3 linked regions of the Elephas maximus indicus genome follow. The protein of the gene in region 3 binds, or shares a complex with, the protein of the main gene of each other region. Links are inferred from orthologs where the notes say so. Each region holds a gene or a part of one and is shown on either strand. Other genes may lie near its edges. The genes, in order: HEATR3, RPF2 and RRS1.

The links.
Region 1: RRS1 (region 3) and HEATR3 share a complex: the UniProt entries of both Homo sapiens proteins name them as parts of the hexameric 5S RNP precursor complex. The link is inferred for Elephas maximus indicus from reciprocal best matches to the Homo sapiens genes RRS1 and HEATR3.
Region 2: RRS1 (region 3) and RPF2 share a complex: the UniProt entries of both Homo sapiens proteins name them as parts of the hexameric 5S RNP precursor complex. The link is inferred for Elephas maximus indicus from reciprocal best matches to the Homo sapiens genes RRS1 and RPF2.

The regions. Positions count from the first base shown.
Region 1 is NC_064839.1:5,604,724-5,608,645, forward strand, and holds the start of HEATR3 (HEAT repeat-containing protein 3), read right to left. Parts: upstream 2,820-3,922; 5' UTR 2,680-2,819; coding exon 2,548-2,679; exon of another isoform or gene 2,543-2,547; intron 2,414-2,542; coding exon 2,241-2,413; intron 2,191-2,240; exon of another isoform or gene 1,795-2,190; intron 558-1,794; coding exon 470-557; intron 1-469. UniProt on the Homo sapiens protein: Plays a role in ribosome biogenesis and in nuclear import of the 60S ribosomal protein L5/large ribosomal subunit protein uL18 (RPL5). Required for proper erythrocyte maturation.
Region 2 is NC_064819.1:176,906,456-176,910,377, reverse strand, and holds the start of RPF2 (ribosome production factor 2 homolog), read right to left. Parts: upstream 2,243-3,922; 5' UTR 2,158-2,242; coding exon 2,135-2,157; coding exon of another isoform or gene 2,131-2,134; intron 2,122-2,130; exon of another isoform or gene 1,754-2,121; intron 1-1,753. UniProt on the Homo sapiens protein: Involved in ribosomal large subunit assembly. May regulate the localization of the 5S RNP/5S ribonucleoprotein particle to the nucleolus.
Region 3 is NC_064833.1:76,193,792-76,197,713, forward strand, and holds RRS1 (ribosome biogenesis regulatory protein homolog), read right to left. Parts: upstream 2,751-3,922; 5' UTR 2,646-2,750; coding exon 1,548-2,645; 3' UTR 1,024-1,547; intron 629-1,023; 3' UTR 75-628; downstream 1-74. UniProt on the Homo sapiens protein: Involved in ribosomal large subunit assembly. May regulate the localization of the 5S RNP/5S ribonucleoprotein particle to the nucleolus.

The sequences.
Region 1 (3,922 bases), on a different chromosome or scaffold from region 3:
AACACATCTCACAATAAGACTGGGTGTGATATTAATTATGAGACCTTAATGTAATCTTTATGGCTAGTTCCTAATGTCTGTGCATCAACTTCCTTGTTTGTAAAAGGCGAGTAAGAACATGGTGCAGATTAAATAACACACAGTACACCAAGCAGTGCCTCGTACATAAGTAAAAAAACAATAAATGCTAATGACTTTTATTGTTATCAAGTTTAAACTCTAAAGAGCCAGTCATAAAAAAATAGGAGGGTCTTTTTCAATAAAGGTGATGGAGACAAAGTAACAGAGACCAGCAAAGAAATGAAAGTAGATGAGTATTCCCAGGAAAAGAAACTAAATCCTCACAGGATATTTTGAGGGAAGACAAATTAGTTAACACCAAATTACTAAATCAAAAAAAGGAAACTAAGTTTGTATATGAAAAGCTACATTTAGAAACTACCATCCAGAGGCTCTAAAAACTGCATACCTCTTTTAGCAGTGCCACTAGGGGCGTCATGACATCCTTAGTCACCATGTCATCACAAACCTCAAAACCGCCACAAGCACTGAGATTTCTACAAAAGAAGTTAAAATATATTTCACATTCAGATCATATGTCACAAAACTCTATCAAACTCTCAAATGTATTTCTATTGTTAACCATATTGAAGGTTTTGGAGAGAAAATCCGCTTATTACCTCTGTAAAGTGCTGTGGAACCTCGTTTACATCCTATGAGATGTAAACAAATGACTTGTCATGTAAGCACCCAGTTCTGAAGAGAAGGTCTGAGACAGGACACAGCTTCATGAATATAGGAACGGAGATGGGAGAAGACTTTTCCTACTCAGTGTGGATAAATCATGGCCTGATCATCTATGAAGGGGCCTTTTCTTGCAATCAAGATTTCAAGGGCAGGGGTAAAGCTACTGAGGATGACATCCCCTGAAACAGCCCTGGCTAAATTAAATTTTAAACTGAAAAGACATGCTCGCCTTCGTAGCGCACAGCACTGTGCTAGGCACTGGGGAAACAAAGACAAATCAGAAGACACACACCATCTTCCAGGAGCTCCCAGTGTGTCTACATCTGGTGGGGAGGGGGCTTTTCTACTCCTCCATGGAACGGTTAACCCTCTCTCCTCCTTCAGCTCTCAGCTCAAACATCATTCCCTCAGGGTTTTCTTCCCTGAACTTCTCACAGTACCCTTTGTAATTATTGTGAGTTGTAATACACACTTCTGTGACCATTTGGTTAATGTCTATCTGCCTCATTAAACTGTTAAGATACACTATGGACCAGGGCTATGTCTGTCTTGCTCACTATCACACGGCCAGAGCCTAACACAGTGCCTGGCATACAGAAGGCATGCAACATACATTTGCTAAACCACTGAATGAGACATAAATAGCAAATACAGAGCTACGATAAGAACCACAAATACTACTGCTCTTGCCCCCTCTGCAGTCCACTCTCTGCATAGCCACTAGGGTGATCGTTAGATCACGTCACTCCCTGCTTAGAGTAAGCCCTGGACCTACACTATCTGGTCCCGGTCCTCCTCTCCGGCCCCATCTCCTGTAATTCCTCACTCCCAGCTTTACTGGGCCACACGAACCTTTGTGCTCTCTGACGCACCACGCCCTTTGTCCCTTCACGTCTTTCCCCTAGCTGCTCCCTACGTCATGAACGCTCCTCACCACGTTTTTCCCAGGCCTGGCTCTCCTGTCCTTCAGGGCTCAGCTCAAACGTCATCTAGAGAGAACTCACCAGGCTGTTTCCCCACAGCACCTCTCACTACGCTCTCACCTACCTGTTTGCTAGTTTCCTGCCTGTCTCAACACAGGCTCTGTGAAAGCAGGGGGCCGTCCGTCGCCCTCCTGTCCTACCTGCTCGAAATCCCCTGCCCCAAGAGTAAGTCCCGGCACACTGACGGGCCTGCGCGCTTCAGAGAGGAGCAGGGGGGCGGACGCGCTAAGTCAACCGCAGGGCTCCACGGAGCTTCCAGGAGCAGGCAAGGGCGAGGCGTAGTCCAGGGCGTCTGCAAGGGGCTGTCGCCCGGAAGCAGCAGGCTGACAGTGCAGGCGGGGTCCGGGCTCAAATCCCCTCCCCACCCACCGCCGCAGTGGGGCTGAGAAGAGAAGGCGGGGCAGACGCGCTGGACGAAGGGTGCTCCCGCCCGGGCGCGAGGTCCGGGGGAGCTGGCGGCGCACCCCGCACGCCCGCCCGCCCGCCGCCCGCCCGCCGCCGCCCACTCACCGGAGCGCGCCGGCCGCCGTCTCCCTCACCGCCAGGCTGGGGTCCAGCAGCAGCGGCCCGAGCATGCGCACGGCGTCCCGGCGAGCCAGCCCCGGGCACAGCCGCCGCTGCTGCACCAGCCGAGCCAGCCCCGCGCAGGCGCACTCGCGGACCTCGGCGCTCGGGTGCTGGAGCTGCGGACACGGGCGGGACGTCAGGGCGGGGCACGCACGGGCGGAGCCGCGCGACCCCGAGAGGACAGCGCCCGCGAGGGCTCCGGGGACGGCGCGCCGCCCTGCCCCCGCTCCCGGCCGGGCCCTCACCTCACCTTCTCCAACAGCTCCGCCGCCGGGCCGTCGTCCTCCTCTCCCTCCGTGCCGTCCGCCGCCGCCTCAGCCTGACAGTCGCCCGTGGGGGAGAACTGAGGTCGCTTGAAGCGCTTCGTCCGGCTCTTGCCCATGGCGTGTGCGCTGTGGGAGCAGAGGGAGCGAGGAGGACAGCAGCAGACGGTGGGGGCTGCCAAGCCTGTGACAGGGACTTGTCCCAAAGGGGACTGACTTCGTGCCGCTCAGCTGGACCGAACACGCATGGGGAAGCAGTGCGCAGGCGCGTGGTGCGTCTCTGGTGAGGAGGGGGCTGGCGCGGAGAGCGCGCAGGCGCAAAAGAGGGGATGGGCGGAGCCAGACCCGGCAGAGGGGTGGAGTCCCGTGGTTTTCCGCGGACGTGGGAGGAGGCTGGATTCCGCCTCCTTCCGCCCTTGTGGAGTTTGTCAAGTTATTGAACCCGGCCAAGCCTGTATTTCCTTTCTAATAAATAGAATTAATAGTACCTAATTTGCAAGGCTATTGTGAGGCTTAAGTTATGAGTTTGGGAGTTATTCCATTCCTTTTCTATGCTCTGAAATGCCTTTAGTAGTGGTGCTAACTCTTCTTTGAAAGTTTTGGAATTCTCCAGTGAAGCCATTAGGGCCAGGGCTTTTTTTGTTGGGAGTTTTTAAATTACCTTTTCAATCTTTTTTGTTGTTGTTGTTGTTGTTATAGGCTTATTTAGTGGTTCTACCTGTGTTTGTGTTAGTTTAGGTAGGTAGTGTGTTCCCAGAAATTTTTCCATTTCCTCTAGGTTTTTAAATTGTTAGAGTACAGTTTTTCATAGTATTCTGTTATGATTCTTTTAATTCCAGTTGGGTCTGTTGTGACATCTCCCATCTCATTTCTTATTTGGGTTATTTGCTTCCTGTCCTGTTTTTCTTTTGTCAATTTGGCCAGTGGTTTATCGGTTTTGTTGATCTTTTCGAAGCAGCAGCTTTTGGTCTTGTTAACTCATTCAATTGTTTTTCTATTCTCTATTTCACTTAATTCTTCTCCAATTTTTATTATTTCCTTTCTTCTGATGCCTGAGGGCTTCTTTTGCTGCTCCCTTTCTAGGGTTGTAGGGTTAATGTTTTGATTTTGGCCCTTCTTTTTGGATGTGTGCGTTTATTGCTATAAATTGACCTCTAAGCGCTGCTTTTGCTGTGTCCCAAAAGTTCTAGTAGGGTGTGTTTTCATTCTCATTTGATTTTGTAAATTTCTTTATTCCATCCTTAATTTCTTCTAAAACCCAGTAGTTTGTGAGCAAGGTCTTGTTCAGTTTCCATGTGTTTGATTTTTTTTTCCTTGCTTTTTCTGTTATTGATTTCTACTTTTATGGCTTTATGGTCAGAA
Region 2 (3,922 bases), on a different chromosome or scaffold from region 3:
ACATCTTAAAAGAGTACAATGCTCAAGAAGACTTTCTTTAGTATTTAAGCTAAACTATTGTTTGATTTTAAGAAGACCACACAGGATATTTTTGGTTTAAAGTTTAAATCATCTCAGGGATTCATCCAGCCTCCACCGCTCCAGAAAGCCTAAATTCCATGAGAATTTGAAATTTTGTTCTGCATTTTCCCCCAATTGATCAGGATTCTTCCTTAGGATCTTTGATCAAGATGTTCAGTAATAGTAGCTGGGCACCATCCAGGTCTTCTGGTCTCATGGCAAAGGACACAGTTGTTTACTGAGGCAACTGGCCACCATTCCACTTCCTCCTCCTATTCCTAACTCTCCTTCTTCCTCTGTTGCTCCAGGCGATTAGAGACTAATTGCTGTACCCTGAATGGCTGCTTGTAAGCTTTTAAGAACCCAGGTATGTTACTGCCTTTTCACCTTTTTCATATTTAAAAAAAAAAAAAAGGACTCAAATGTATACTGTTGTTATTCTTCAATCTTAAAACAGTCAAACTATACCCTGCACATAAACTGCTGATGAACCTGTAGGCATTTACTGAACACAGCTTATTAATTCAAAGCCACATAGTAGGCTAATTATTTCTTCTCTTTCTTCCAGGTGTTAGACCATAATGCCTGCCAGGAGGTACATACTGTCCCACTCCATCATTACTTCTGAGAAAGTAAACATTTCTGCCACCAAAGGGGAATAATAATGGTTGACGCTTTTAAAGATACACTGTTTTAAGGCTTAGTTCTCACCACAACCCAATGAGACAGGTACAATTATTTTCATTTTACACATCAGACAATTGAGGCAGAGTGGTAACGTCCACATTAGTAAGCAGACAAATCCTCAAATCCCAGATTTCTAATCACTCAGTAAAACACGAAGAGAAAATAAATCTATTATTCTGATTGTAAGATGTAGCTGTAGAAGCAGCATGTTTTTACACATTTCTGTTCAGGAACGGTGCTGTTACTTCTGCTAACTACACTTTTCCAACAGTTTTTGCCATCTACTGAAAGAAACCCAAAACCCACTGCCATCGAGAAAGAACTCCTCCTTAAATAACTGTGACTCTCCGTCTTCTAGTATTACGAACAGTCCAGGAAAGAAAAGAAAAACAGCACACGTACAATTTAGTTTCCTATGCAGATTTTTTTTAAGTCTCCTCCAGACAAAGTGCATATAAAACTTGTACTCGTTTACTGGTTGAAAAAACACAAGAAACATTTAGTGTGTCTATATGGCAATAACAGTGTTATATACTCTATATCTCAGGTCGTTTCTCACTTCTCATTAACCAATAATCAAGGCAATAGCTTTTGTTGCCCAATTAGACTGTAACCTAGCCTTATTCATCTCTGTAGTCAAAGTATCTAGACAACTATATAACAAGTAGGCAGAAATCTCTGAATGACTAAAAAGAAAAACTCTTGTTTTGATTACATGTTACGTCAGGTAAGTCGCAAGAAAAAAACCATAGCAAATAGCAGGAATGTCTACGAGATCAATAAATAGTTTCTGAATGAATCTAAAACAGTATCACTCAAATATAACTCAGAAAGTGTACAAGAATGGGAGGAAAAGAAAAAGCGGTATGTTCTACGTGCTGTAGAAAAGTCTTTACAAACATTCTTGCAACTAATCCTCAAAGTTCTATTAAATATGACTATTATAATCTCTATTTTACACAGTAAACTGAGACTGAGGAAGATTAAGTGGCAAAAAGTTACAAGCCTTTAAATGGACGCGTCCGCATTGTCACCTAGATCTGTCAGGTTCCGAGGTCTGTGCTCTTAACCTCTCGCTGTACCATTCTCACACTTCTACGGAAGCCAGGCGTTTTTAATCTCCAAGGAAGGCAGCGACAAACGTCTCCGTCCCACCTGCATCCCGCGGCTCCCACTTGTGGACTTCGGCGCTCTTAGTCTCCCGGCCGCCGGAGCAGACCGAGACCTGATTTGGAGGACTGAACAGCCCCACCCGGACAGCACTGGCAACGCCCGTGAGAAAGGAAAGCGGTGCCAAGAGGAAAGCAAGCAGAGTCAATATCACTCTTTCCCGCTACAGAAGCCCCTGTCCCCAACGTTTCCGGGACGGCGACCCCGACGCACTTACACCACTCGGTCCAAAGCATCCATCGCTACCGCAACCCGAGCCAGTAAACGCACGTGCGACGCGCCAGTACTCCGGTAGGTCTGTGCCCCGGAACAAGAGGAACCGGAAATTCGCGTGACGCCACTTCCTCGGCCCGCCGCACGGTTGATTCTTGGAGACGATGGTGGTCATTTTGGATCGAATCTTGCTGTTCCTTTTGTAATGAGTTTGTGTCATGGTTCTTTCCTGCGAGTTACAGTTGCGAAGTAACACTTTAAGTAACGCTGGTTCTCACTGCGTATATACTCGGGGTCAAATATCCAGGGATCAGGTGTTATTCTTTAGAAAATTTCCCAGGATGCTTAAAAACAATGTGATACCGTTGAACTGTATATGTAGATATTGTTGAAATGGCAGATGTTATGTTACTTACATATTTATCACAATAAAAAAATTAATGAGGCATGCACACTATTGACTAAACTGTGAGATCAGTGAGGGCGTAGTTTATGACTACCACAGCACCTGACGCAAAAGGTGCTCGGAGAATAATACTGCTGATCATGATTTTTTTCCCAATTTTTAGAGATGTAATTCACATGCCATGAAATTCATCTTTTAAAAGGAGCCCTGGTGGTGGTTAAGAGCTTGGCTGCTAACCAAAAGGTCAGCGGTTCCAGTCCACCAGCCACTCCTTGAAAACCCTATGGTGCAGTTTTACTCTGTCTTACAGGGTTGATGTGAGTTGGAATCAACTGCACGACAACCGGTTTGGTTTTGGTTGGTGGCTTAAAAAAAAAAAAAACACATCTATTATTTTACATTCTAGAGGTCAGAATTATGAAATTCTACCACAGGTCTGAAATCAAGATGTCAGTAGAGCTGTATTCCTCTTGAGGCTCCAGGGGAGAATTTGATTCCTTGGCATTTCCAGCTTCTAGAAAACAAAACAAACAACAACAAAAAAACCAAACCCAGTGCTGTCGAGTCGATTCTGACTCATAGCGACCCTATAGAACAAAGCAGAACTGCCCCATAGAGTTTCCAAGGGGCGCCTGGTGGATTCGAATGCCTGCCAACCCTTTGGTTAGCAGCCGTAGCGCTTAACCATTACGCCGCCGGGGTTTCCAGCTTCTAGAAACTGACTTCATTTCTTGGCTCATGGTCCCTTTCTCCATCTTCAAAGTGCATCACTAGAATCTCTGCTTCCATTGTTACAACTCCTTTTTCTAACTCCTGGGCCCACCTGAATAAACCAGGATAATCTCCTTATCTCAAGATCCTTAATCATGTAGCAGAGTTCTTTTGGCCGTGTAAGTAACATATTGACAGTTCTGGATTGGTTGCTGTTTTTGAGGTGGTATTAGGAGAAGTGAGGATTAACTAGGGTTTGGATGTTGTCATGAAGCAAGAGCAATTTAGCAGTTGGGTGTCCCAGGAATAGATGGGTATGGCAAAGTGGGCTGAGTGGCATAATTGATATAAAAAACAAGAAAGTAATCAGTCAAGGAGAGGGTCCTTATATTTTACAGCTGTTGCATGACCTTGGGAGAAGCAATGTTCTCTGTTAAATTTGCATCTGGTTTTGTATCTGTACTCCCACCCTGATGAACTAACCATGGGACTGCTTTTTTTTTTCATTCTAAGCTGATTTTCACTTTCAGTTTCAGACAAGTTTTTATTCTTTCACATTTATTCAGTTAATAAATATTCAATACTACCTAATATGCAAAAGGAAACCCTGATGGTGCAGTGGTTAAGAGCTATGGCTGCTTACCAGAAGGTCAGCAGTTCAAATCCACCATTCGC
Region 3 (3,922 bases):
TTAACAGTGTCATGTTCCTATCATTCTCAGGGGAAAACTTGGTTAATGATGGCCCAAACCAAAAACCTCCACCTTTAATTTAATCAGAAAGTATCTGAAGACAGTAACATTTGAACGTCTTTGTTTTTAATAACCGTTACACATCGACAATGAAATCTGATTTTTTTTTCACAGAAACCTCTACAAGTACCTTTGTAAGAGACTACACAGAAAAACTGAAAGACAAATTCTCCCTTTTCCTATCAACTGTCAGACTAAAAACAGCTGGGTGGCCCTTTGCTCTACAGCAGCACAAAAGTGCCCCTGGGTTTTAGATCAACTATGAATTCTTTTCAGATCTTTATTAGGGAAAGAGACTGATGGGCAGAAAAGTACACCAGGACAGCCATAAACATTTTCCCTTCTAATCAAAGCACCACCACAGCAGCCGCCAAGGAGTCAACTCTGGTCATGGCGACCCTGTGTGTCGCAGACAGTGCTCCACAGGGCTCTCAATGACTGATTTTTCAGAAACAGATGGCCAGGCCTTTCTTCCGAGGTGCTTGTGGGTGAACTCAAAACTCCAAATCTGTTTGGCAGTTGAGCGAACCACCTAGGGACTCCTCTAATCAAACCAGCTCAGGTCAATCTGACAGATAAAACAAAAAATAACAATGATCCAATTAAAGACTTTGTGGGTCTCTTTCTCTGGTACCCTATTTAACATGAAGCTAAAAACAAAAGAAAATAAACCAAAAGAAAAACAAATTAGGGACTTAAATATCCAGAAAACTTTAAATATTTTCTGGATTAATGAGGATTATTAGCATTATTTAGTTACGCCCACACTTATATTTACAGTGAACCAATAGTTTTCAAAGCGTGAAAAAGCTTAATATCTTTTTTTCAAACAAACATCTGTTGTACACCTTCAATACACTTGGTAACAAAACAAGTATGAGTTTTTCTAACTAAAGTGGTCTCTCTGAAACCATAATATAGCTGCTTTGTGTTTTTTCTAAAATGAATAAAAAGATTCTATACCTGGTATTCAGATGACAGGTTTCACTTGATTTCTACCAAAAGAAGTTAAAAGTAACACTGGATACAGACACAGCTTTATTAAATAACCTTTAAAATAGTTACTTTAAAGCCCACTTGAGAAAATGTTTGTAATCTTTCCTTTCCCTTTGCTTTGATAAAAATGAAGAAACGTATAAATCAGTAAGTCTCTGATATATGACCAACTCTCTCTTGCCCTATAGCCAACATTAAAAAGAAAAAGGCTGTTTTAAGAATAGACTCATTCCCACTGTCCATCAAATTCTTGCCCTAATTCTGATGCCCTCAAACGCGTCCTTTAAACTCCAGCCAAACCCTCCGTTGCAGGAATAACACTCATTTGTAGAGTCCAACACTTAAAATACCCTCTTGAAGGGAGGGCAACACTGTCCCTTTAACCTCAAGTTCAATGAAGGCAGCTGCCACTTTCTTGTGCATCCCGCTACTTTAAGTTTAACGTTTAGCATAGTTTTTGGTTTACAGAGGGGACCCAAGGGTGAAAACTATTACTTCCTCCTCTTTCCTCCTTGGTGCTGGCCTCCCTTCTTTTTGCCACCCAAGCCAGGAGGCCCAGAATTAATCTTGCCTCCAAAGCCCCCTTTTCTCCTCCCTTCCAGGTGGGGCGGGCCCCCTTTCCTCTTGCCCCCAGGGCCCTGCCGACCCCCCTTTCTCTTGCCCTTCTGGCTCATCTTTCTCTTCTTGGCGGCCTCCTCCTGGTCCTCCTCCCTCATCTGCTTATTGGTGGCCCTCGTCACGTCCAGCTGAGGCTTTTTGCTGTTCATGACTCGCAGCAGCTCCAACTGGCTCTTCTTCTCGGCTGCAAAGTCCCCGAAGAGAGGCTGAAACTTCCTCTTCTTGCCGGAGCCCCGAGGCGCCTTCTCCTTGGGCAGACGCTCCTGGAAGCGTCCCACAGAAGCGGTAGAGACTTTGGCCACTTGCATGGCGCGGCCCAGCTCCTCCTTGCTCTGGTGTCCAGTTGGGTGCATGCCGGCCGCACTGGGTAGCTGCATTTTGTGTGCACGGGCCAGGTTACGCAGCCGGTTCAGTTCGTTCTTGGCCACCCGTTCCTTCTTGGCCTGAACCCGCTTGGCGAACTGGTCCTCCAAGGGGTCGGCCCTGCCAGGCACCTCGATCAGCCACTCCTTGGTGTCGTCGCGGGCGCGCTGGTAGCCCCAGCGGCGCCGCCACTGACCGCTCACCTCGTCCCACACCAGATTGGTCTTCTTCTTGGGTCGTATGCCTTTCAGGCGCGCAAACTGCTGCCAGCGCGTAAGCGGCCGCGGCCGGGGCACCGGCTTCTCGCGAGGCAGGCGCGTGGTGGGCTCGGGCAGCCGTGCCACTAGCGCCTCCTCCACGCGCTCCGTGGGCAGCTGCCACAGCTGATTGATGAGCAGCTGCGTGTTGTCCCGCGCCAAGCTCCGCAGCTCAGCCTCCAGTGTGGGTCCCGCGCACCGCAGTCCCGTTGGGGGGTTCCGGTCTGAGGCCAACAAATTGCCTAAGTCAAACTCCAATTCCAGTTCCTTATGCACCGTGATACGCTGCAGCTTTTCTGCCTCGTCCCGCTCCGCCTTTGCTAGTAGCTCCTCCACGCTCTGACTCTCCATGGCTCTGGTTCAGCTCACTAGCTCTGAGGCTGAGCCTGAACTCACTTTTCCGCCGGCGCCGGTTCAAGTCCGGCAAAACAACCACGTGCAGACGCCCAGATGCTCGGTCCGGAAAAGAAAGCTTCACTTCCGGAGCATCCGGAACCGGCTTGCCGTCTGGGTGACCTTTCCCCAAAAGCCGGCAGAGGGCGGTGTTGGAGAGTTTATGGTATTAGAGGCAGGGCCGTTCGACTTGCGCCCGGATGTAGGCGGAGCTGGCACGAGTTGCGCGGACTACAAGTTCCAGAGCCTGATTGGGACCGCGGCTCCGAGATTGCGGGTGGGGGCCTCGGGGCGGGGCCTCGGGGCGGGGCCAATTGCTAGGGCAGGAGATGAAGGGCGTTCCGGAGCGACGGTGTTACAAGTTCAGGTTAAATATCTTGCAAAGATTTGTAGCCACCCAGCTGTTCTTGGGCCCTAATCCGCTCACCAGGTTCTAGGTGTGGACACATCGCACAGATAAACGTAGAGCTAAGTGCAGAAGAAGGTTTGGGTCGGTTTGGGAGCGGGCAGATGGCTGGTACTTCAGAGCTCCGGGGCTTTAGCTAAAGAGCACCAGGGACGTCTCGAATTTGCCACTTAGGAGCAGTTTGACCTTCCTCTGTTTAACTTGTCTGGGCCTATTTTAAAACGTGTAAGATGCGAGACTGTTAGGAAGCTAAATAAGCTAATGTGCCCCAAGGGAGGCTTAGACTAGGCCCTGGAACATGGGCGAACTGGTCAATGCATGTCAGCCTAAAGCTAATTATTTAATATTCATGATGGCTCTGGGAGGTAAGTTGAAGAGGCAGTGTTACATTGCGGTTAAGCACCAGGTTCTTGAGTCAAATCACCTAAGATCAGATCTGAGTTTACTGTTTACATATATCCTGGACAGGTTGTTTATAACCTCTTCAAGCCCTGTTGTTAGGTGCTGTCTAGTAAGTTCCAACTCATAGTGACCCCATGTATAACAGAACGAAACGTTGCCCAGTCCTGTGCCATCCTCATAATAATAGGTATGTTCGAGCCCATTGTTGCAGCCACTATGTCAGTCTATCTCATTGAGGCTCTCCTTTTTCACTTTCTACTAAGCATGACGTCTCTAAGCCCTGCACATTCTCAAAATGAGGTTACCTCAGGGTTGTTAAAAGGGTCAAATAATGACACTTTAAAAAATATGAAACATTAGTTCCTGGTACATACTAAGTATTCAATAAATGCTAGCTATAATTGTTATTAACCCTAGCCCACTGATG